Xenopus tropicalis: one gene and its partners. The protein of the gene in region 4 purifies or fractionates together with the protein of the main gene of each other region. This does not show direct contact. Links are inferred from orthologs where the notes say so. Each region holds a gene or a part of one and is shown on either strand. Other genes may lie near its edges.

Region 1 (4,219 bases), on a different chromosome or scaffold from region 4:
GGGCAGCATGCTGCCACCAGATCCTTGGTGCCCTTGGCATGGCCCTTTGTGGCTTGCCCACAAATCCAGGCCTGAAAATAAGTAGCTGTGTAGCCACGGGGGCTGCCATTCGAGTTGAAACTGGGTTAGATGCCACAGATACAGAGCAAATCTGATATGCAATCTGTGCCTTTTCTTGTTTTCAAGCTAAATACCTACCCCCATAGCTACACAGCAGCTTATTTATTTAACAGTAGTAGAGTTTGTGAAGCAAACACACAAGTTTTACCAGTGCAGGGCAGCAGTACGTTATATATTTCAATACCTTCATCATTTTTTTTTTTTTAATGTTACTTTAAGAGAACCCACATCACCAACTTATTTCAAAGAAGTACCTTTTGCCTAAATTTTATAAGTAACATTAGAAAACTATCAATGGCCTGGCATTTGGACATTCTAAGCAGTATATTTCTCTGGCTTATGAATCAATCAACACCCTATAATGAATTTATTGTTGGAATTCACTTTCTGTCTGCGCTCACAGGCTGCCGACATGCCGGTCAGTCCACTAGTAAGAAGGAATGGATCCACTTGCATTGGCCTGTTCCCATTTTTACGCAGGTGGGGAAACAGCCCTGTGTATCACTAACCTAAGCCAGCACTAAGGAGACCTAAAAAAGTTAACTAAAATAGGGCTGTTTTTTTCCTCCAGGTTGATATATTTGATTTTCTCTGTTAAAATGTAATAATACAATTTAGATTCAGCGTTCTGCTATATTGTTAATGCAGGATTCAGCTGAATCTAAAAATGAAGGATTCAGTACATGCCTTTATTAAAATCAATTATAAATACCGCAACTACAGTCATACCTACAAGGTGTAGCTAAAATGGCCGATTGGATTTTTCTCTTCTAACAAACACAAGCCTTGGAGTTGTAACCATACATCCAGACTGCTCAGCCCCTAACTAGCACCACCATGTGTACAGCCATAATGTTTGCTAAAGAATGTAAGCAAAGTATCAATAAACCTGCAACACTGGATTGCATGGGGCCAGCAATTACCAGTCTTTCCCACTCACAATGATTGACCAGCCTCTTGTTCTGTCACAGCCTTTCATATCATTGCTTTTTATAACTGAATCTTTGTTATCAGCAAAGGATGAGTCAATGCATATTAAACTATGTACGTACCCCCAGCTGTTACCCACCACTCCCAGGACAAGGGAGGCACGAAGAGTGATACTGGCAAATGTGCAGAAACAACTGCTAGAGGCAGGGGCATAGCTGCAAGTTACTTAGCTCCACCGTAACATTTTTAGCTCCCACTCGCTTTAGGGTGAAGACACACAGAGCTACTAGTAGTAGCTACTTTTTCATGGCTACTTAACTCCAGAAAACACCCTGCCATAGACAATACTGAGACTTGCCTCTGCTAAAACGCACACATAGAGACAATTACAGGTATGGGACCCATTATCCAGAATGCTCATGACCTGGGGTTTTCCAGATAAGGGGTCTTTCCGTAATTTGGATCTCCATACCTTAAGTATGTTAATAAAATTATTTAAACATTAAATAAACCCAATAGGCTTGTTTTGCCTCTAATAAGAATTAATTGTATCTTAGTTGGGATCAAGTACAGGTACTGTTTTATTATTACAGAGAAAAGGGAATCATTTAACCATTAAATAAACCCAATAGGGCTGTTCTGCCCCCAATAACGGGTAATTATATCTTAGTTGGGATCAAGTACAGGTACTGTTTTATTATTACAGAGAAAAGGGAATCATTTAACCATTAAATAAACCCAATAGGGCTGTTCTGCCCCAATAAGGGGTAATTATATCTTAGTTGGGATCACGTACAGGTACTGTTTTATTATTACAGAGAAAAGGGAATCATTTAACCATTAAATAAACCCAATAGGGCTGTTCTGCCCCCAATAAGGGGTAATTATATCTTAGTTGGGATCAAGTACAAGGTACTGTATTATTATTACAGAGAAAAATGAAATAATTTTTTAAAATGTGAATTATTTGATCACAATGGAGTCTATGGGAGACGGCCTTTTGGTAATTCAGAACTTTATGGATAATGGGTTTCCGGATAAGGGGTCCGATACCTGTATCAGTAAATGATCAGCATTGTCTATTTGAGTAGCCATGACAAGTACTAGTAGCTACATGTGTCTTCACCCATAAGAAACATTTTTCATTAAAAAAATAATAAACTGTTTATCAGTCCCCCCCCCCCCCTGACAAGAGGGTTGCAGGTTAAGCATTCCAGTAATTACAGCATGAGCGATGGCCTAGGTGTGCAGTAATACAGTAAAAGGATATTGCCTGATCAGACTGTCCACCTCGGCCTCGTCGGGCCCCTGAGGCTCGGCCGGTTCCTCCTGCAGCTGATCGTCAACAAATTTGTTCTCGTCGTACTCGTCTATGTCCACCTTGCGGAAGCGCGACGACAGCGTGTTCTTGGCCATGTTAGGCTAGCCGGCCGGCTGCAGCACCCACAGGAAGGGGGTGTGACACCCTGATAGGGTGTGAGCGCAGGGAAGGTGACAGGAACCGACTGCCACTACAAACACTCAATGAGCCTGACAGCAAAACGCACCCCCTTCAAAAATGCGGCCACTGATCGCTAGGGGCTACAGTAAGGCTCAATGAATTCTCTCAATGAAGCTGTGTGACAGGAATTGGGGGCTGAGAGAGAGGAGGGAAGGGGGCGGAGGCCAATGAAAAGGGGGTGTTGAGGCGCTTACTCCCTGGCTAGGTCGGACGGCAGCTACTCAGGGTGGGGGTGACCAGGGAGGGAAGTGGCGACTGAGAGGGAAGGGGGCTTGGCCGCTGTCACGGACACTCGCTTCCAGTCCAGCCGGCTCCCTCCGCTTCCGGTGACTCCGGCAGGGCGGAGCGTGTAGCGGAAGCGGAATGGCGTCACTGACATGAACGCGTGAGAAGCGAGAAGCCAACATGGCGGCCTCTTGTTGCTTAGCAACTCCTCAGGCCGTCACCCCAGGGGCTTGGGGGACAGTAGTTAGGGGCATAGATGTCAACATTCGGAAAAGAAATAACTGTATGGAGGAGGCATGGTGCCTTAAACGAAATAAACTTACATTGTGCCACACTACTTGGGAATTGAAATGCGTGCTGTAGTCACACAAGGCAGATTTATATGTAGCCTTAAAGAAGGTACATCAGTGAATTGCTAATTGGATATTAAGGGTCAGGATTTTAAGATACAGAAAAAAGTAAACATATGCTCAGAAGTAATTCGTAAATCTCACCCATAGTATAGATGGGCCCAGGTGCTCATGCCCCAGACCTTCAGCTAGAGGGAGCCATCATGGGTATCTCACAAACATTGAGAGAAGACAAACAAATAAATAAGGTTGAGGAGACTGCCTCACGCAGACAAAAGCAAACAAAAGGAATTCTGGGAACAAATTCCAGACTCTTTAAAAAAATCCCATTTACATGGGTTTATCCTATAGGCTACAGCTCACCCACTGGGTTTGAAGCTGAAGCCAGGACAATAGCTGATCAGATTCCCAACTACAGACCGGTTTCACCCTTATTGGGGGCTCATCAGTGTAGTGCAGGGTTTTCTGATCAGCTTAGGTAGAGTCACCATGTGGTTCTACAAACAAATAAATAAGGTTGAGGAGACTGCCTCACACAGAGAGAAGACAGGCACTCTGGTAGTTCAGTGAAGAAAAGCGGTTGTCCACGAGAAAGTAAAGTAAAATCACAAAACTTTTATTGAGCTAACACATGATACGTGAACTACCAGAGTGCCTGCCTTCTCTCAATGTTTGTGATATAGTCAGGATTTTGAGACCAGTTTCAAAGGGGTCATCTTTACATGGAAGCTAGTTAGTGCCTGTGGGTGGTGAATTAGTAGGTCAGATTGTTGGCAATATTATATAAATCATTTTTTCAAGGGTGATATGGCATTGGCAATTGGACTATCCACTATATCAGAATGGCAGTAAATGACAGCGCCAAAAAAATACCATGATTTGGTCATTACTAGGTTTGTACTTTCCTGTTAATTTACCTGCCGATCATTACAAGTAATGCCCTAGAATGCTGACTAAAAGCTGCAATTATGAGAGTTGTTCTTGGACATATGAATTGCTTTCTGGCTCTTATGACCTCCATATTGTAATATTGATTATTATTTAACCTAGAAAAACGCACTCATATCTTAAACTGTGTGTGCATTGTAATTGT
Region 2 (3,250 bases), on a different chromosome or scaffold from region 4:
GCTATTCGTTGCTTATAAGCCAATCAGGGCTGGGTATGAGCACATGGAGGAGTATGGACACACTATTTCCTGTACTCTAAAAACAAATGAATGAATACAGCAATAGTTAGAAATAGTTGTATAAAAAAATTAAATAAAAATGGGGCAACTTGTAAAATGTGTCAACTTGGTTGTTACCTACAAGAAAATATGATACAATATGTTGGCTGTATCCTTCAAGGGTTGGTTTAGCACTTTACAGTATTGGATCCATATTGTGGGTTAAATATGTCCTGACCACATTTTGCATCTGATCTACATGAACAATTTTAGGGTCAGTGCGGTTCATTTACAAGAAAGGTGATTTAAAGTTAAAAGGCTATAACTATAACCCTATAGGAACTAAGTCTAGTAGCATTGCAAGGAATGACGTGTGCACATCAATAGAATATCAGCAGAACATTCATGTGGCTTTAGTAGAGGCACATAGTACCAGAGTGTGCAAAATATTAATCCACCAAGAAGTGTACAAAGTGTATTGGTCTTGATCAGGGATGGTCAACAACGACAACTTTCCATCACTTGTTATACTACAACTCCCAGAATCTCCTGGCAGTAGAAGAACGCTGGAAGTTGTGCTGGAGGGTTGACGGTTGGGCATCGCTGCTTCATATAATATCGTATGCAGGCTGCCATGTTCAGGAAAGCAGAATTGTCAATTAATACAGCCCTATTTCTCCCCAAGGAGTACCATGACTTTGTTAAGAAGACAGTACAGGAGGACATTTTTACTGTTCCAATACAGAGTATCACATTTCACCATTATAACAATTAGGCACAAATGCGCTCGATTATTTCTGTATATAGCCCAGGAACAGACCACTTATTATTACTGTATTTGCCATAACATCCATACAGTAGACCACAGACAAAGCTTAGGGACACCTAATTAGCTTCTTTTTAGCTGGGACAAGATATTTACTTAATAATCTGCGGACAGTCACTCCAGGCTTTTGATTTCCGTTTGGCTAAGGCAAGCCAGGCGGGCTCTGATGACACAGGAGAAGCATCTGGTGTAGAAAATCGCTTTGGAATATCCTTTGCTAGAGGAGGAACTTGAACTGCATCTGTGATTTCCACTGTGAGAGACAAAGGGAAGATGCAAGAATATTTCTCAGCACTCAGTGGGGGCAGACACAGAAGTAATTACAATGCATAGATATAAGCCATCAAGTTCCATTCAGATTCAGAAGAACAAAATGATGTAGGTAAAAATCATGGTTGTTGAACTATTAAATGGGCCATAGACATTCTAGAAAGAAAATGGTCATTTAAGGGGAAGTTTGCGCCTTTACTGAGTAAAAGATGTATACATTTTTACTATTGTGTATATTTATTTTGATGTTATTGCAATATTTTTTCTGTTTGTACTTTCACTGTTTTGTAAATATGTACATGGTACTGGTAGCTCTATATAAATAAAGATATATATATTTTGCATATGTATTTCTCAGATATCTGTATAGACTGGAGGAGAGTGAAATGAGTAAATGGATGTGGATTCCCATGTTATTAAACCAGAGGGGCAGATGCAACATGGCTTAAAGCAAAACCAATGTTATAATGCAGTGACTCCCTCTCTACTGCAGCTTTGTAACTAGCCGTCAACAATGAAACTTGGCTCTCCTTATCAGTTATGTAAAAAAAAATAAGTCTCATCTATCTCACAAGCACAATAAGGCATTGGGTGCATAGCTACAGAATAAGATATACAAAAAATTACCATGCCAAATATAACTAACAAAAAAAACATACAACTTAAGCACAAAAAGGATAATTAGATGTATAAAACAAAGCTCAAACATGAAGTGCAAAAATCAAATTTAGACAGAAAACCCCCAGAGCCCCAGACATTAACCGGGTGGAATTGCTTAATAATATAACATTTGAGACTTGTTCCTTCACCTCACCTGTGACAGACGTGGGAAGTGTGTTTGATTTCTGTAGTTGCTCTCTGCGCTGCAGGCGAGTCACTACGGTCTCACATTTCTTCTCCTCTTGGGCTACTGGCTTTTGCAGGGATCCAGACCTGTTTCTGTATTCTCCTGTTATGACAGGCTCACTGGCCTTTTAATGGATAATTCAGAAAAATCAGGTTTTACTAACATATCAAAGTCATAGGTCAGTCATATGTATTCAAAGTAGAGGGAAGGATGGTACCGTGCACACAATAAGCTTCATTTCCAGCAGGTGTCTGGTCCAAACACAAAGCCAAAGTAACACTGGAGCGGCTCAATACCAAGTGGTGAATGTTCTACAATGGACTACTATTCATTGAGAATCTATGGCACAAAGCTGGTACATACTGTACTTACCCCAAAAGATTTAAAGATGTCTTTATACTTTTTCTTCTTATTTCTACCTAAGCACTATCTCTTGCAATGATAGCTTTAGAAATGACATTTCAATATAATCATAGCTAGAACCATCATGAGTGTGGAATATATATTGAGTATCGAAAAGAACTAAACCCCCACAGAGAAAAGCTTCACATACTGCCTTCAATTGGCCCCCTCCCTCCTCACTCCCAGCAGGTAGAAAAATGTCCCCATCTGGAAAGGTATAGATGCAGAGTAGCACAGTGGAGTTCATACGTACTATTTTCTTAACTTTGCTGATGGACTGAGCTTTTTGGCATATGCACAGTTGGAGCTAATCCCAGAATCCTAGCGTCAAGTACGTTGTAGAACTTTTCAAACAAAATCTGAAGGTCCAGAAGATGGCAGATGGAAATGCCACTACACTACTCTACATCTAAGTTAGTTTTCCAGACTGGGACACTTTTCCATCTAATAGACTCTGTGGGGAGGGTGCAGGGAGGTGGGATGCAATAGAGGGCAGTTTGGGGGGGGTTAGGTCTCCATTAAACGGGTGTCAACCCTTACATATGCTGAATATTTTCATTAACCTGCTTACATTTTCTTTAGTGATCTTGTCTGACAGTTTGGCTTCCCTGGCTTGTCTTCTCTCTTCCCTGGAAGCGTGCTGTTCCCGAAATCCTTTCTGCTTCTGTAGGGCTAATGTTATCCAGAGAGGCTGCGCTGTCTCTGATTTTTCCATCAGCCTGGTACCATCAAGGGAATGACGGCTCTGAAGAGTTGGCCTATCTAAAAGGACACATAGCACAAATGCATTATTAATGAAAGTCACCATGGGCAACGGAGTGATAGGTAGAAGTAGCATCCCCTGTAAGCCTTCAACTGCAGGTGAT
Region 3 (3,983 bases), on a different chromosome or scaffold from region 4:
GTTTCCCACATATTCGATAGTTATAATTGTTTGTGGGGGGGGGTGTGTGGAAATACCAGTTATATCATAATGCTCAATAAGATCTTTTAACTGTAGCCCTCACAATTTGCCCAAAAAGCTATTTGCAGACAGTTAGTTAGTTGTGCCATCACACATGGCATGCTTATTAGAAGGGGCCGCTGCAATTGCGTCTGGCAAGATTAAGTCTAATAAGGTCTGAAAGACTCTTTTCTTATTATTAAAATACATTGACTGTCGGATGTGGCTGCATAAACAAAACATTCCATCCGACTTTATTTAATCTGACGTGCATTACATCAGAGGGGATCATATTTTGTAGGATTCCACAAAATCTTGCAGTTGTGTGACAATATTTTGTGGGTCAGATAAAATATCAAAATATCATGTAGTTTAAATCTCTTGGTGGTATCTTTTTTTACCACTATACTTCGCTACATTCTCACGTGAATTTATTTAACCCTGTCTAATCTTACTTTATTAGACCCCATTCTGCCTAGGTGCTATCCTTTACAGCTTTAGAGGTCGCACCCCAACAGAAAAATTAACCCAATGGTTAAGGAACACAAAACTTTTTCCCCTACTAATACTTTAGCCTAGCCAGTTTGGCTCAAAAAAAAAAAATGCTCAAAAATGTATTGATTAACTGTCCCAAATCAGTGCTATTACCCTGAACCACATGTGTCCTTTAGCAATTTACCAAATGCGATCACCCCAGTTTTTGCACTCTATATGCTGACTTAAAAAATATGCCTTATTGATGTTTTTTTTTTCTTCTTATAACTACACTTTTATAGAACAGTTAGTTAGTGAATATTCTTTCCACAGAATAAGTGATCCAAATGAGTCCCAGTGGTTGTATTTATACTATCTGGTCTGCTGATGAGACAGTCGAACATAAAATACTTTTCCATTTTTTCCAGTCCAGTGAAAGCATCCGTATATCCGTTGGTATTAACTTAATGCTATTTTTGTATTTATTTTTATATTTAAGCTTGAATTATCTGATGGGATTTATGTGGTTGCTCAGAAATAGTGGTTAAACGTATTTTGTGTTCTTTAGGCTTTTCAAACAAAGTAAATAAAGTATCATCAGTTTTAGTTTTAGAGAAAATCACAGCGTCTGTCTCACTGGTGTAATCTTATTGCTTTTTAATTTTTAGGTGACATACAGCATGTTTGGTGCTTCAAGAAAGAAGTTTGTAGAAGGTGTCGAAAGTGACTACCATGATGAGAATATGTATTATAGCCAGTCTACGATGTTTCCACATCGGTCGGAGAAAGATGTAAGTTGAGTTTCATAGCAAAATGCTGCAAATAACTTTCAGAGCACACAAAATAGAAGTATTCTTGTGTTTAGTGTGTAAGTTATAACTGCAAAGGTTGGGGACTTGGGTGCATGTTCCTGTGAGTGGCAATACCTTTGGTGGACAATTTAAGGCACAGATATATAACAATATGTAAACAGTCCTAAAGTACAACATAGTGTAAAATCCCATGTGTCTATAAAGCTGCAGAAAGATTTATGTGTAGCAGATTTTAAAATTCTATTATAAAAGGAGCTGTAAATTTCAGCTGTAGTCTGACAAAATAAAATACCTTTTATAAACACCATGGTTTGCTCTTTGTAATTGTGATGTATGGTGTTAATTCATGTATAGTTACAAACAAGGTTTATAAATACATTTAAAAAGACAGCTTGCATTGTAAATAAGCACAGTTGGCTTTTAACAGTTTCACACCACTGTGTTTTTTTTTTCTGGCAAAAAAGTACTATGCTTGTATTTCAACATATTCATGAGTGCTTATGTTGTTAAACTATCATACTTCTGAAGCAAAATAAAGAACCTTTTTATATGGTGAAGTAAGGTAACCCAGTAACTTTGTGTAGCTGGAAAAATTATGTGGAAATTTAAAGATAGTCAGTCTAGATCTTGACTGATTTAGAGATTGTTGGGTATACATTTTTGTGAGCCTTCTCTCATTGTGTTCATTTGCACTAATGATATATAAATATATATATATATGTTTCGTGTTATTTAGATGCTGGCATCTCCATCACCATCCGCATCGGGTCAGCTGTCACAGTTTGGGGCCAGTTTATATGGACAACAAAGTAAGATTCTTTTGGCTTATGAGGAATTGCATCCTTTGGAAATGAATCCTTTTATGTGTTTATATTCATATTGACTGTCTCCTGTAGAGTAAATTCTACTTCAGGGGGAGTTTAATTAAAGGTCGAAAGAGTATAGGCTCTTAGTCACATTTGGTTGGATGAATATTTCAAACAATGCGAGTGTTACAGTGTGTTACCGTTATATTTAAGTGCACAGAACTAAGTGACTTTCTCTTCTGATACTTACTAAAATGCCTTATTCTGTATGGGTTAGGAAGTGCCATTTTTGCTTAGTGGGTTAGTGTTAGTACTTGAGGGACCTTTCACGACACTCACAATAACCGAAACAGAGTTATGAACCACCTTATCCAATCACTGAATAAAGAAATGTTTAATCACACAATATATATTTGGTCCTTTTCTTTGCTTCTAAAACCATAATTCTCTACTCCTCGCGTCTGGGTTCTAGGTTTATCCCACAGATATTCACTTGGGTTAAGGTCAGGATTCTGTGCAGACTGTTCAAGTTCTTTAACTCCCATCCCAGCAACCAAATTTGGTATGGACTTTGCTTTGTACATAGGGACATTATAGTGCTGTAACAGGCAAGTGCCTTCCCCCACATTGTTGCCAGGAAGAATGATATTGTAAAGAATGTCATTGTATGATGGAAAGGCGCCAGTGGCAGCAACAATGGGTGTCTTAAATCGCCAATTCCAATAGAATACTTGTGACCATAATGTGTAACTGCATATCTAATGTATCTAGCAGGTCTAAACTGCAGGAGCATCATATGGCATTTTTAACTGGTCTCCTGCCAAAATATAAGCTGATAGTTTAAGTCCCTTAAACTAGGTTAATGCATTTATAGTTGCATTAATTAAATAAGAATTTGGACAAATAATTAACTTATATAGACTAACAAATCCCCCCGTTGTAGGTAAGGATTTTTTTTCCCCTTTATCGCCTAAAAAATTATTATTTAGTTACATAGTAAAGGTCATTATTCCGAATTATAAAGTTGTATCAGAATCTGACAATTTCATAGGGTCTACTGAATATTGCAAGTATTCACTTGCAGGGTCTACTGGTACTGCCTCCAAGATGAATATTAATCTTGAATAAATATCAGATTAATTTCAGCACTGCCATGCAGCCATTTTTTAAAAATATACTGATTTACAGAAAGCATTGGTTGAACTGCATTGTCCAATGTGTAGACAACACAGGACCAAACAATGACTAGGGTATTCCCATGGCAAATCAATGAGAAACTTACTAGTGCTCATGCTTTGGGCCATGGTTGCGGAACGATTTATATTTTAAATATTGTTAGGCTTAATCTTAATATCATCTTTGTCCTCCACCTGAATCCAGCATATCTGCTCTTTGCTTTCTGACCTAAAGGCTAATGTTGAAAAGCTTCTACATACTGCAATTCATTCTATAAAATGCCCCCTGCAGTGCTAGGCTTGGCTGCACTGGGGGCTCCCTCCCAGTAGAGCTAGCCTAGCACAGGCAGGGACACTTTTTTTTTTTTGTTCTTTAAAAACTTGTTTCCCACAACCAGAGTGCTGGCTCTATTAGCCCGCACCTCCTGGGGGGGGGGCAGTGACAGGTACACTTTAATACATTTTCTTATATATAGAAAAATGCATACCCCCTCCACCATATTTATATTTTTGAACAACACGTTAATTTATGTTTACCTTAAAATCTAGCAATTTTTCCCAAAAGTAAATGTCTATTTAGTCTCATAATATACCATTAACATTCATTAATCATTTTTAGCCTTGCAGGGAAGAGCATACTATATCTTATATTAAATAACCAGAATTCCTGTTTTACT
Region 4 (3,500 bases):
ACAGTCTCAGACACCATACAAAGTGCCCAGAGATGCCTCTGAGTGAGAGTATTTCCATTTATTTTAGATTTCATCCCTTTTAATGAGAGACTGGTGAGACCACAGGGAAACCCAGAGAAGCCCAAACTGATGGGTTTGTTTCATAATGAGCAGAACCAGGGGTGCGGGCCCATACATCCCTGCTCTCCTTATGGGTCCGAGTACTGACCTGTAGGAGTCTCCATCTCTGTTGTAGTCGCACAGCAAGTAGTCCTTTCCCACGACTTTGTCGCGAGCGATCTTCAGGGGCTGATCGACAGAAGACAGGAGATCTTCGCACAGACTGGGTACCTACGGGCGGAACCAGAACCCCAGGTAAGGAACATAGCAAGTGAGAATCGGGCCTGGCTAGTATTTAATGTAGGCAAATGGCACACAATTGGCACCACTGCCCTTTAAAAAGGTCTCTAACTGCCTCTGAGCTCCACCTTCCTGGGAAGCAGCACGGCGGCCATATTGGTGCAGGCAGCCAGGGCCCACACAGGTGATACCACTTGTACCACAGGGAGAGGGGTGTGGGTGAATACAGGTGGGCTATGGGACGCACGCTGCGCGCGCGGGGGGGGGGGTAACGGCACTGAAAGCAAAGGGGCTCGGGGAGACATCTGAGGAGGCAGAACACAAAGAGAAGACAAATTGAAAGAAGTTAATGAGATTCTGATAGAGATTTGGGAACAGGGCCGCCCTTGTTGTACCTGGGACCCCCGCGCTGCCCCCCCCCCCCATAATGCACTTGGCTCCGGCCCTACACAGACTTAATTAAACTCACAAACCCCTCACACAAGAATATCAGCCTTTGTCTGCCCAGAAACTGGATACCTGCCGGGGTGGCCGGCTCCTACACACGGGGGCAACCGAGGGGTCACGGCTGCCAGGTGGGAAAAGAGGGGGTAACAGCTACCTTTATACAGTCCCCCCCATCCTACCCCCCCGGATACTGCAGAACCTTCATCATCCTGGGAACTGGGGGGCACCTCTCCTCCACCCTGGGGCTCTGTATATAATATACCCCCATAGTACTGGCAGCCCCCATACCCTGACTGCCCTTACAGTAAGGAACCCCTTCCTATGCTGATGGTGAGATCCCCTTTCCCCCCACCCCCAATGAATCACTCATTCCCCCTCTCTTGTTAGGGAATCCCATAACCTGACTGCCCTTACAGTAAGGAACCCCTTCCTATGCTCATGGTGAGATCCCCTTTCCTCCCCACCCCCAATGAATCACTCATTCCCCCTCTCTTGGTAGGGAATCCCATAACCTGACTGCCCTTACAGTAAGGAACCCCTTCCTATGCTGATGGTGAGATCCCCTTTCCTCCCCAACCCCAATGAATCACTCATTCCCCCTCTCTTGGTAGGGAATCCCATAACCTGACTGCCCTTACAGTAAGGAACCCCTTCCTATGCTGATGGTGAGATCCCCTTTCCTCCCCACCCCCAATGAATCACTCATTCCCCCTCTCTTGGTAGGGAATCCCATAGCCTGACTGCCCTTACAGTAAGGAACCCCTTCCTATGCTGATGGTGAGATCCCCTTTCCTCCCCAACCCCAATGAATCACTCATTCCCCCTCTCTTGGTAGGGAATCCCATAACCTGACTGCCCTTACAGTAAGGAACCCCTTCCTATGCTGATGGTGAGATCCCCTTTCCTCCCCAACCCCAATGAATCACTCATTCCCCCTCTCTTGGTAGGGAATCCCATAACCTGACTGCCCTTACAGTAAGGAACCCCTTCCTATGCTGATGGTGAGATCCCCTCCAGCAATGGAAACATGTCTGTATCTGGTGCTGGCAGCCATGACACTACTGTAGAACTGTAGCGAGGAGAGCACACAAATCACTGATGGGGGCCCCACAGCGGCCTCAGTCGTTAGCGTGGATGGGAAATCATGTGAGTGACGGGGCCGCTAATGTGCTCTAATTAATAGCCTGCTGGTCCCAGGAAGAGGACAATGGCCGAGGCAAAGGGTACGCACTAATGAGGGCCGGGGGGCTGAGATCAGGAGATATAACTACGTATGGAACGCTGACCCCTCTGCCTCCTCTAATTGCCCTGCCGGGGCCCTTCCGCCTTCAACTAGAATCTCAGCATGAGGTGCCCAAGGGCCACATTCAGTCCTTGCTATGTTATTAGTCAGCTCTTCAGCCCAACGTTTCTTCCTGCTGCATCACGGGGGCAGTTGGTTGCACCAGAGGAAATGTGTCGCTCCTGGAGTCCCCTGGTGCAACCAACGGCAATATCCCAGCGCCGCGGGGCACGGCCGCACCTATTGGCCGCGGGTGAGCCCGGACGTAGGGGGTTTCCTTACCAAATCAATGAGGTCGCTGAGGTTCTTCTCAATTTGTTGGGGAGGGAGACGCCTCATCAGATCCAAGGCACAGTCCAGCTGTTGTTCAGTCTGAAAAAGAAAGGGGAAACGGCGCATTAATTCTAATTAGAGCACAAAGGGCAAGTAATAAAAGGAGAGAATACAGGTTTATAAACCCAGAAGTTGCCAGAATGCAGAACTCAGGCCCAGACGGCTACTGAAGCTGGACCCACTGCCGTGATAATTACAATTATTGACATTTATAGCGAGTTTCCATATCCCCTATAGGGTGCTAGCACTTACGTGGCCAGCAGGGGGCGACCTATAGTAAGCGATGAGGGCTTCAGAGCTACAGGCTGCTCAGCCATTTGAACCATGGGAAAAGTTTATCCAAAACCCTATGTTTATCCATATACCCTAAGTTCGGGGCAAAAGGCTGCCCAGTTCTGCACAAGAGCTTACAATCGATGCATTCTATGCTCAGCCTGGGCTGAGTAATACAGGGAGCCATGCAGCCAATCAGCGGAGAGACTGGAAGGTGTTATTAGGAGGCGAGGAAGTGGGGTCCCTGCTGACATATTGGGCCAAACACAAAGCAGCGGGGGCATCTGGCGCACAGGGGGCCGGTCCAGCAGAAGCGCAGGTGACTCTCTCCCAGCGGGAGCCCCGGGGCATTTGCGCAGGAAACACCGGCTTATTTTATCCCACTGTCTCTAGCGGCTCCCAAAGGTCATGGGAAGCAGAGAGAGAGTCTTCTGGGTGATGAGAAACGGCTGTAGGTAAAGGGAAAGTAAGAAGACTGCTACATGCACTGAGTCTGGGGGGAACGGCCGAGCAATTACTGCTCAAAGGGACCCTGTCCCCAAGTTCCTGCTGAATTGTGCTTAGTACAGGGGAATCCCTATGTGCCATAGTTTTATGGTATCTCTCTGTACAGGCTATGAGCAAACTTAGGGGGCTGTTCCTGCTGAATTGTGCTTAGTACAGGGGAATCCCTATGTGCCATAGTTTTATGGTATCTCTCTGTACAGGCTATGGGCAAACTTAGGGGGCTGTTCCTGCTGAATTGTGCTTAGTACAGGGGAATCCCTATGTGCCATAGTTTTATGGTATCTCTCTGTACAGGCTATGGGCAAACTTAGGGGGCTGT
Region 5 (3,500 bases), on a different chromosome or scaffold from region 4:
CCTAGCTCCGTGTGTAATACAGATACACCCCTAGCTCCGTGTGTAATACAGATACACCCCTAGCTCCGTGTGTAATACAGATACACCCCTAGCTCCGTGTGTAATACAGATACACCCCTCTGCCCTGTGTATAATACAGATTTTCCTCTGTCCTATGTATAAATACACATATACCCCTGACTCTGTGCATAATAAAGATACATTCCTGGCTCTGTGCATAATAAAATAAAGACATTTGTATAATACAGTACAGGGGTATCCCTGTTCTATGTATACTACAATACGGATATAACCCTGCTCTATGTATAATACACATACACCCCTGGATCTATATACCGTTGACCCCTTTGTTTGTGGTTAAAGCATATTTTCTGGCAACAGCTGATCTGTTGGGTTAATGGAGATTTAAAGAGTTTAAATTCCCAGACAACTGGAGACACATACATGCTATACACCATATGCCTTCTCCCCCAGTCAATTGCAAAGAAAGCAGGGATCATTTAGGGTAAGGTGGGAGCTGCCATCTGATTGCAGATGAGAGGTCAGGATCAGTAGGGGGTCTGGGAATTACACAATCAGACACATCTCCCCCCCCCCCTCCCCTCCATACATCCCTCTCCTCCTCCTCCTCCTCCTCCTTTCCCACCACTCCAGCCCCCCTTGCCTGCCTTCCAGCTTGGGGGGAATAAATGGGAAACAAAGGAGTAACCCTGACGTGTTGTAATGTCCTCTCTATTCTGATCTCACATCACACTCACAGTGACTCTCCATAGATGGAGCTACTGAACAGAGAAAGAGAGAGGGCAGAGGCAAGGAGGGGGGGTAGGCTGTGTGTGAGTGTGTGAGTGTGTGGCTGTTGCTGCTGAGTGTGGGGACATGACTGTGTGTGAGCTAAAGAGGCTTGGCTGGACTTAGTGAAACCAGATCTTGTGTGTCTGATCTGCAGAACAGAAGGCTGGAGAGGGAGCAGTGAGCGCAGACGGCACATCCACTGCTGCACCCAGGCAGGCACCCAGCAGCACCCTCCCATCCTCCCCTTGCACACTCTGGCCTCCATAGCCTCAGCCTCAGCCCTGGCAGCATGAAGAAGAACCTTTCTGCAAAGAGGGTGAGTGTTTCTTACTCTTCTATAGACACTGATCCCCCCCTCACCCCCTGTATCCCCCCTGTGTCTGGCCGGCCAGCCTCTGCCCTACATTCCCTGCTCTTATGGGTCTGAGCTGGGCAATTACTGGTCCCTTCCTTGGTTGCCCCCAGCCACACAGGGATGCAGCGCAGAGATATGCAGTAATATATATCCTCCTCTGGCTCCTTCAGCCCCCCACTGCATTGCATTGGTGCCATTTAGCTCTTCTTTTGTATATGCATTAATCTATTGGATCTACTGTATTATACAATAATCTGTCTATCTATCTATGTATCTATCTATCTATGTATCTATCTATCATCTATCTATCTTTATCCATTTATCTATCTATCTATCTATCTATCTATCCATCATCTATCTATCTATCTATCTATAAATATTGCACTCAGTGATCTATCTTCTCTCATATTTATATATAAATGTATGTATTTGTAATATTGTCTTGCTACATATTTAAATCTATACATCTCACTAAATGCTATTGTTGAATGCTGTATAGTTTCATTCATTGCATATAAATTTATAGATAGTACTTTTTAGATTGCAAGCTCTTGAGCAAGGCCCTCTCTACCTCTGTTAGTGGTCAGTACCTATATGTCATTTATATGTTTGATTTAAACACTCTTCAGTAGTACAGCGCTGCAGAATATGTTGGTGCTTTATCAATGCGTGTTAATAAGATAATAATAATAGTAACAATATTAATGATCATCATAATGTAATAATCATACCATCCCTTTGGATGTTTGTATCTCTGTGTATATGTATGTTTCTCTAAATATATATATAATTATATATATACTATTGTATAAGCACTGCTTTTATTGTACAATGCTGCAATAGCAATACTGTGTGTACATATAGCCGTGTGTGTGTGTGTATGCATAGAAATAGGCAATAAAGTTCCTATACAAACATGATATAAAAAAGTTCATATATTTAATTTATCATACCTCTAGGTAGGACAGTATAAAGAGGGTACTGTATTATTGTTATCATCAGTATGTATTAAAAAACACCAATATATTCTGCAGTGCAGTAAAGTAGAAGGGTGTATATCAAAGATATAGGTTGTGACTGCTACAGAAGGTTAAGAAGGACCTGCTCATTGGAGCTTACAATCTAAAAGTAGACGGGGGTAACTGTATGAACGATGCTGCTATTGTGATGGGAGGAATATTCTCACAAATGCATTATTCCTTACCCTGACCCTTGCCCTCTCTGTTACATGCATGCATAGTGTATTAAAAACACACATTCATATATGATTCTATATGGAAATGTTTGCATACCAACCAGTGTCACCATCAACCAGCAGATTTGCTTCCCAAGAGCTTACACTCTAGAGCCATGTAAGCTCTCCAAAGTACAGAACTCCCAGAATCGGAACAACGCTTGGAAGCTGTAGTAGTGGCCGGATATTGGATATGGAAAAGTATGTTGGTCGCTAATAGGACTGCGCTTCTATGTATATCGTCCAGCTCTATGTTCCTACCCAGTGTTGTATAATAGTATTTAATGAATATGCTCCTGCAATGGGTCATTGGGCACATTACTCCCTTGTTCTGGACCCAGTTCTCAGTTTGGTTAGGCAGTTTGGGTCAGTTACCCTTTCTTGGATTGGGCATATAAAGCTTAACCTTGGCTTCACTGGCCTTTGGGGCAAGTCTGCCAGCTGCCGACAGTTCATATTAATGTGATGGTTTCCCCTATATTCATCTGTGCTCCACCTTTTTAACTTCCCAGGGACCTTTAGATGGGAACCATGCCCCCTGCCAGCCAGAAAAAGTGGGATGGATTCGGAAATACTGCGGGAAGGGCATCTTCAGGGAGATCTGGAAGAACCGTTACGTGGCTATACGGGGGGATCAGCTCTACATATCGGAGAAAGAGGTAATGCCTATGTACAGAGCTTTGTGAATCAGGATTGTAGGCTGAAGCTATAGGATAATGTCACGGAACGCTGTACTATTTAATTGAAACCAGCCTTGTGTAGGAATGTGTGGGCCATATTGGGATGAGAACATGGGGATGATTCAGGCTGGTAACATGTCTCATCCCAGTGCTAAGAACCTTCATTCACTATGACTCCACTCCTTCCCTCTGGTTTCTGCTCCGCTTTGTTACCTATATGTCAGCTATTTCGATGTGATCCAAGGCGAATGGATGGCTGCTGAGCTAAGCCTTGTGTCACCTGGGAAACATTTGTATTTGTAAAGGAGAACTAATCCCAAGGCCACCATAGCCCTTTTGGGCAGTGACATACGTTTATATTAGTCGCCTGTGATAAATCTTCTCTACTGATGCAAATGGTTTTCCCATTTGTGGGGCTACTTTGGAAAAAATCCTCGCC
Region 6 (3,500 bases), on a different chromosome or scaffold from region 4:
ATGGGCAACTTTTGCTAGGGCCCACTGGGAAAAATCCTGGTGGTCTAATGAGACACTGATCAAGAATGTAAAAAGCAAAAAGTGGGGCAAGACTAAATACTACTGAACTGCAACTACCAGGCACAATACCCACAGAGCTGGAAGTCATTCATCCCCAAGTTGTAGCCTTACCTACAGATTCCAAGTGGTCTCCTTCATGAGAGTGTTTGTATAGAAAGAAGTGGTAACGGGCTGTGTCTTGTGGTATTCTCCCTGGTAGATCTTTTAGCTCTGTATGCTTTGTATGAACCAAGTCTACAGTCTCCTTTTCTAGATCCAATCTCTACAAAACAGAAAGACATTCAGAAAACCAAAAGGCAGTCGATAGTGGTAAAGGCACTAGTGGGTAAACTTGCAGAATGTGGGTGTTGGAAAAAAGATTCTACAGATCACAAGAGTTATTGGCCTAAGTCAGAACTCTGCAAATGGAGGTCCACAAGTTATGGGCCCTGCTAGGGCACTCAAGACTGCCAGGAATTCCAAAAATGTCTTCATTGTTGTAGCTGAAGTACAATATGGAATCTGGGTTTTCAGTCTGTGGGATATCTGGCCCACTACATCACATAAGCTGGACTGCAAAGGCAGGCATGGTCTGAGATTATTAGCTATATTTGACATCAGCCATTGCCAAACACCTATATCTTCACCATTGTGGTAATCTTGATGGTTCACAATTTTAGGGTAACAGAACAGGAGGAGATTTGGACAAAACTCCTCTAGTTAAAGACATGTTATTTCTATTAACTAATATATCCATTTTTCAGAGGAGTAATTAAAACCGGAATTTTCTAGCAATGTTTAATTTATATATATGCAGATATCAGTAAGCTCCATCTATCCAGAGTGTTGAACTATACCTTGTCTGGACTTTTTAGAGACCACAATTTGTTGTTATCCACACTCCAACTATGTTATGCTATATTTATATACTGTTAATTTAATGTTATGTATATATGCAGATTGGGCAGCGATTACTTTTGAGAGGCCTCTCCCATAATGGCACTAATGTTGATTTTACGGGTTACGTATTTTAATTGTACTGGCAGATCTGGAAATACATAAGGCTTTTTAATTACAAGTATGGGACCTGCTATCCAGAATGCTTGGGGACCTGGGGTTTTTTCAGATAAGGGGTCTTTTTATCATTTGGATCTCTATAATTTAAAAAATTATTTATACATTAATTAAACCCATTAGGATTGTTTTGCGACCAAGAATTAATCTTAACTGGGGTCAAGTACAAGGTACTGTTTTATTATTACAGAAAAAAATAAATTATTTGTAAAAATTAAAATTATGTGATTATAATAGAGTCTATGGAAGAGGGCCTATCCATAATTCAGAGCTCTCTGGATAACGGATCCTATACCTGTACTACTTAATTCAAAGGATTTTTTCTTTTTTGTTTTTATTTTAATGATGTTTACTTATTCGCTTTCATCTAGGGGTTAAGACCTTTCTTTTTGGCATGGTTCCTATTTCATAGTCATATTTTGTTCTTTTTTTGATTTTTGCATTTAAAGCTGTAATAACTGTTGTGATTTGAATTACATACAAAGATTTAATTTGGAGAGTAGGAACTTTTTACGAATCACTATGTGTGAATAAAAGGAAGAATTAGGAAAGGCTTTATATTGGCAGTAGTAGGAACAGAATTACCAGCTGAATATAATTGATTTTCTTCTGTTTTAAGAGCAGGATTGCCCCCTCCGCTTCTGGCCTTAGAGGGAAGGAGAGTCCTTGCAGAGTCTGTTGTTTACTCTCTACGCTGATTTCAGTTTTCACCTTGAGAGAGACACAGAGGGTTAATGGGGAACTTAATTATCAAACTGCATGATTTACAGAAACAGCCTTGAGACTAAGTGCAGATACTAATCTGCCAAGATGTTGAAGACCCCGCAATAATGAATAAATAAATGAATATTAAATGAATGCCAGTTAGTCAGTGTAACTCTCAAACTGTAATTAACTGCAGTAGTACTTTATTGACCACTGACCAATTGTTAGTGGTGAATCCTGGCTGAAATACTTTAAAGGAGAACTAAAGAGTAACAAAAAGTACAAACCGGATTCCAAAAAAGTTGGGACACTAAACAAATTGTGAATAAAAACTGAACGCAATGATGTGGAGGTGCCAACTTCTAATATTTTATTCAGAATAGAACATAAATCACGGAACAAAAGTTTAAACTGAGAAAATGTACCATTTTAAGGGAAAAATATGTTGATTCAGAATTTCATGGTGTCAACAAATCCCAAAAAAGTTGGGACAAGGCCATTTTCACCACTGTGTGGCATCTCCCCTTCTTCTTACAACACTCAACAGACGTCTGGGGACCGAGGAGACCAGTTTCTCAAGTTTAGGAATAGGAATGCTCTCCCATTCTTGTCTAATACAGGCCTCTAACTGTTCAATCGTCTTGGGCCTTCTTTGTCGCACCTTCCTCTTTATGATGCGCCAAATGTTCTCTATAGGTGAAAGATCTGGACTGCAGACTGGCCATTTCAGTACCCGGATCCTTCTCCTACGCAGCCATGATGTTGTGATTGATGCAGAATGTGGTCTGGCATTATCTTGTTGAAAAATGCAGGGTCTTCCCTGAAAGAGATGACGTCTGGATGGGAGCATATGTTGTTCTAGAACCTGAATATGTTTTTCTGCATTGATGCTGCCTTTCCAGACATGCAAGCTGCCCATGCCACACGCACTCATGCAACCCCATACCATCAGAGATGCAGGCTTCTGAACTGAGCGTTGATAACAACTTGGGTTGTCCTTGTTCTCTTTGGTCCGGATGACATGGCGTCCCAGATTTCCAAAAAGAACTTCGAATCGTGATTCGTCTGACCACAGAACAGTCTTCCATTTTGCCACACTCCATTTTAAATGATCCCTGGCCCAGTGAAAACGCCTGAGCTTGTGGATCTTGCTTAGAAATGGCTTCTTCTTTGCACTGTAGAGTTTCAGCTGGCAATGGAGGATGGCACGGTGGATTGTGTTCACTGACAATGGTTTCTGGAAGTATTCCTGAGCCCATTCTGTGATTTCCTTTACAGTAGCATTCCTGTTTGTGGTGCAGTGTCGTTTAAGGGCCCGGAGATCACAGGCATCCAGTATGGTTTTACGGCCTTGACCCTTACGCACAGAGATTGTTCCAGATTCTCTGAATCTTCGGATGATGTTATGCACAGTTGATGATGATAGATGCAAAATCTTTGCAATTTTTCGCTGGGTAACACCTTTCTGATATTGCTCCACTATCTTTCTGCGCAACATTGTGGGAATTGGTGATCCTCTACCCATCTTGGCTTCTGAGAGACACTGCCACTCTGAGAAGCTCTTTTTATACCCAATCATGTTGCCAATTGACCTAATTAGTGTTATTTGGTCTTCCAGCTCTTCGTTATGCTCAAATTTACTTTTTCCAGCCTCTTATTGCTACTTGTCCCAACTTTTTTGG
Region 7 (3,500 bases), on a different chromosome or scaffold from region 4:
ATCTGAAAGTGGACTGGTGTATGTCCTTGAAGTTTTAACCTCATTTAGCATGTCACTTAGACTGGCTTGAGGTGTTCTTGATGATAAAGGGGAAGTGAGTTCTACTTTTGTTGCCATGGTGTTGCCAGTTAGTATTCCATATGGAAAATATCCATCCAAGTGGCCGTAACCATCAAACCAACGATACTGAAATATGAAAATACAACTTAAAGTTAATAATTTAGCTGAGACAATAAATATTGTTTATCACGGCACATTTTTCTTTAAAATGAAAATGTTGTGTGTCTCTACCCTTTTGGACTACTTTCCAAATGATTACATTCAAAGTAGATGCAATTAGTACATGCCTATTAGTTGGATTATATTCCACTGTTTCTCATTCTTACATTATTATCACTTTTTTCTTTACCCCTGTCCTTTCTTTAATCTTTGGAACAACACATCAAGGATGATAGGTTAGAATTTGGCCTGCTGAATTTACAGAATAGCACAAAATGGTCAATCAATGATCAGCTCAGTTCAATACAAGTAAAATTTGCAAATGGCTAAAGAAGACAATTGATATCGGGATATTTAGTATGTAAACAAATTGTTTTAACAATAGTAAATAGACAGGACAGATCTTGACAAATTGCAAATTCAAGAATCCATCAAACTATTAAGGTTTTTGTTTGTTTTTAAGTTTGGGCCTCACAGTTATTAATATCTAGTTTTCGAGGCATAGCATGATCTTAATTACACTTTGCATTCTGAGCATGCCGTTTAAGTCATGAATCCTGCTTAAACTAAACCAAAAGATGCGTTTAGTCAGAAATACTATGATACCTGCTTGCATATAACAGCTGTAAAAGCACCCAAAACAGTAGATAAGAAAAAAATTAAAAGGTAAATCAACAGATACTTTGTTAGCACCCTGTATATGAAAGAGGTTTATGAGCATACATTTATCAATAGCAGCAATATGGATAAAATTTTTGGTTTAGTTGCTGTTTTGAATGTTGTTTTAAACAGTTTATTTTATTTTAAAGAATAAATTGATAAAATCATAGATAGAGAAAATTATAATAAGTTTTAAAAATATAGAAGGGCCTACACATAGCAAGAGAAGAACAGGTAAAATTAGATTTGAGTTAGGTGAAGATTTTTTCCATTGTTTGCTGTTTTTCTATATCACCATGTGTTCAACAAAGCACAGCACAGCCAGACATTTTCCTTTAATAAATCCTTTAAGTTTCCAAAAACGAATCAAGATAGCAGCAAATAACTGGCTACTTCAGCTCCACTGGGAGCTACACTGCAACATAAACTGATTATTTTTAAATTTGATTATTTAAATCAGGGCTGTCCAACTGGAGGTCTACAGGCCGGATGTGGCCCTCCAAAGGTTTTTTATGGCCCCCACTCTGCTCAAAGGCTCCACAGACTTCCCTATATGACATCATTTTCATTTAATCCGGCACTCGAACATGCTAGAGAGAAAAACTTAGCCCACTTCATGTAAAAAGTTGGACATCACTAATTTAAATGATACACATATGCATTTAACATGGTCATTGGTTTTGCTTGGTAGACAGCTCCCACTCACACGTTATAAACACAAATATGTAATAGAAATGTTCAATGCACGCAATAAGGCTGGGACTCACAAATATGTACTCCTGAAGGGGCACTATATTTCTTCTACAAGTGGGTCAATTATGCAGGGGGATTATTTTGTGATGTCTATATCTCTATCTACATACATACAAACCCACACACACACATACATAAACATTGGCTGTGGTCATTTCCTGATTTTTTTGTTAAGGAACTTTATGGGAAGTGACTGTAGGCTTATTTTGCCCACTCCCCCAGTGAATATAACTCCCAGTGCATCAACCCAGGGTACTTCTCAGTTAACACCAGAGAACAATACTCTTGATGCTTCTTCCTTCTTCACACCAGAGCACAAGAAAGAAAAAAAAATAGCCTTTTCACGCTACAGTGCGTGAAGCCATAGAAAAATAAATAAGTCGAAGAAGATGATCACTTTGTGGTACTCTGTGAAAGGACCCCGAGCAGATGCATTTTACTGCTAATAGGTGTACCGGACCATGGTATCAAGTGATTATAATCACTGGGGTGCCTAACATTTTGCAACCTTCCCAACCCCCAGTAATTAACCCTTTCCTTCTCCATATGGCTAATACCAGACAGGGCTAATTCTAAGCCTGCGGATAAACACAGGCTGAGGATCAGCCCCCTACATTTGATCAGCCTATCCCTGTGCCTGCACTCAGCCATTGCGTCTTTGGAGTACAGGCACACAGAGCAGATTTCAGCAGCAAAATACATACAAGAGCATTCTGTCACCAATTCCACTCCATTGGCCTGCATTTATCCACAGGCCGAGAATCAGCCCTGTCTAGCATTAGCCTTAAATTGCACTAATATATATGTTGTTGAAGCATACACTACCAATGTACATGCAACATGTTTAGTGTTTGGACACTTCCTGTATCCCCCTAAACACTTCTTTTGGATCCTTTGTCCTGGTGTCATTAGCCATTCTGATGCTTTCCAGGTAAGAGACACACGTGAATACACAAAATACTTGATAAACAAGGTCAATACTTCTGACTACAATTCTACATGTTTGCACTCTCGCATGCACATACCTACAATTAATGTGTGTACACATTCTATTTTTTTACTACTTTGTATCTTGTCTTTGCCCTAGATTAGGTACTTTGACCAGTAATCAGATGGTCTTGTCAAAACCTTTGTTATGTTATTGATTTGAATGACTTTATGGCATTATTAGTTTTGCACTTGTTCAATACTTGTTTTTGACCATAAAACTATAGTTGTGCACTGTGAGTAGTTGATTAGGGCACACTGTGTGATCACTTATTTTATTATTTTGGCTGATTTTATTGCACTTTTTCATTTGTGTATGAGAAACTAGAATGCAAAAAAACAAATTGTTATATCTGTAATTATTGGTGCATCCAGGTGTATTATCCTACTCAGGCATATTAGAGATTATATTGCTTATTGTGAGTATTTGGTTTTATTTTGGCTATAATATGGTGCAATTGTAAACATAAAACAAGTTCAGCCAAGCTTTGCAGTTTGGTAGATTAAAGCAAAGACAGTTGCAGATTTTGAAAATCTACTTTCCAAAAGAAATGTGGTTTTCTGGGATCATCTCATTGTTTGGGGCTTGTACACTGCATAAAACATAGCCAGTTTGCTAACTTTAGCAAAGCTCTGCCCTTTGTAAGAATGGTGTAGAACTACATGCATCCATGTTGGATTTGTCTGAATATTTACTTTCCCAAAATAAAAAGGGCTTTCCAAAGTTGTATTTTGCCACAATACTAAATATATTTCTGATACTCTAATTATGAATAATAAGTACTCTTAATAATAATTAACAGTAGTGAAAGGAATAAAGTAATAGCATAAGCTGAATAAAACATACACAGCAGAGGTACAGGTTAAGGGCAGCAAGCAGT

Evidence for each region.
Region 1: the proteins of capzb (region 4) and arpc5l purify together in Homo sapiens (co-immunoprecipitation; 3 studies listed by BioGRID and IntAct, with this or other methods). This does not show direct contact. The link is inferred for Xenopus tropicalis from reciprocal best matches to the Homo sapiens genes CAPZB and ARPC5L.
Region 2: the proteins of capzb (region 4) and cracd purify together in Homo sapiens (co-immunoprecipitation; 3 studies listed by BioGRID and IntAct, with this or other methods). This does not show direct contact. The link is inferred for Xenopus tropicalis from reciprocal best matches to the Homo sapiens genes CAPZB and CRACD.
Region 3: the proteins of capzb (region 4) and cnot2 purify together in Homo sapiens (co-immunoprecipitation; 4 studies listed by BioGRID and IntAct, with this or other methods). This does not show direct contact. The link is inferred for Xenopus tropicalis from reciprocal best matches to the Homo sapiens genes CAPZB and CNOT2.
Region 5: the proteins of capzb (region 4) and plekho1 purify together in Homo sapiens (co-immunoprecipitation; 3 studies listed by BioGRID and IntAct, counting the BioPlex papers as one, with this or other methods). This does not show direct contact. The link is inferred for Xenopus tropicalis from reciprocal best matches to the Homo sapiens genes CAPZB and PLEKHO1.
Region 6: the proteins of capzb (region 4) and twf2 purify together in Homo sapiens (co-immunoprecipitation; 3 studies listed by BioGRID and IntAct, with this or other methods). This does not show direct contact. The link is inferred for Xenopus tropicalis from reciprocal best matches to the Homo sapiens genes CAPZB and TWF2.
Region 7: the proteins of capzb (region 4) and kiaa1671 purify together in Homo sapiens (co-immunoprecipitation; 3 studies listed by BioGRID and IntAct, with this or other methods). This does not show direct contact. The link is inferred for Xenopus tropicalis from reciprocal best matches to the Homo sapiens genes CAPZB and KIAA1671.

The regions. Positions count from the first base shown.
Region 1 is NC_030684.2:28,258,065-28,262,283, forward strand, and holds the start of arpc5l (actin-related protein 2/3 complex subunit 5-like protein), read right to left. Parts: upstream 2,801-4,219; 5' UTR 2,467-2,800; coding exon 2,321-2,466; intron 1-2,320. UniProt on the Homo sapiens protein: May function as component of the Arp2/3 complex which is involved in regulation of actin polymerization and together with an activating nucleation-promoting factor (NPF) mediates the formation of branched actin networks.
Region 2 is NC_030677.2:40,819,456-40,822,705, reverse strand, and holds the end of cracd (cancer-related regulator of actin dynamics), read right to left. Parts: intron 3,147-3,250; coding exon 2,956-3,146; intron 2,107-2,955; coding exon 1,950-2,106; intron 1,119-1,949; coding exon 958-1,118; 3' UTR 501-957; downstream 1-500. UniProt on the Homo sapiens protein: Involved in epithelial cell integrity by acting on the maintenance of the actin cytoskeleton. Positively regulates the actin polymerization, by inhibiting the interaction of actin-capping proteins with actin.
Region 3 is NC_030679.2:59,329,634-59,333,616, forward strand, and holds the start of cnot2 (CCR4-NOT transcription complex subunit 2), read left to right. Parts: upstream 1-1,183; 5' UTR 1,184-1,193; coding exon 1,194-1,304; intron 1,305-2,061; coding exon 2,062-2,134; intron 2,135-3,983. UniProt on the Homo sapiens protein: Component of the CCR4-NOT complex which is one of the major cellular mRNA deadenylases and is linked to various cellular processes including bulk mRNA degradation, miRNA-mediated repression, translational repression during translational initiation and general transcription regulation.
Region 4 is NC_030683.2:129,989,719-129,993,218, reverse strand, and holds part of capzb (F-actin-capping protein subunit beta), read right to left. Parts: intron 2,441-3,500; coding exon 2,351-2,440; intron 331-2,350; coding exon 209-330; intron 1-208. UniProt on the Homo sapiens protein: F-actin-capping proteins bind in a Ca(2+)-independent manner to the fast growing ends of actin filaments (barbed end) thereby blocking the exchange of subunits at these ends.
Region 5 is NC_030684.2:129,094,754-129,098,253, forward strand, and holds part of plekho1 (pleckstrin homology domain-containing family O member 1), read left to right. Parts: intron 1-647; exon of another isoform or gene 648-946; 5' UTR 947-1,081; coding exon 1,082-1,108; intron 1,109-2,893; coding exon 2,894-3,040; intron 3,041-3,500. UniProt on the Homo sapiens protein: Plays a role in the regulation of the actin cytoskeleton through its interactions with actin capping protein (CP).
Region 6 is NC_030680.2:128,268,045-128,271,544, reverse strand, and holds part of twf2 (twinfilin-2), read right to left. Parts: intron 1,825-3,500; coding exon 1,699-1,824; intron 323-1,698; coding exon 172-322; intron 1-171. UniProt on the Homo sapiens protein: Actin-binding protein involved in motile and morphological processes. Inhibits actin polymerization, likely by sequestering G-actin. By capping the barbed ends of filaments, it also regulates motility.
Region 7 is NC_030677.2:147,665,157-147,668,656, reverse strand, and holds part of kiaa1671 (uncharacterized protein KIAA1671 homolog), read right to left. Parts: intron 187-3,500; 5' UTR 118-186; coding exon 1-117.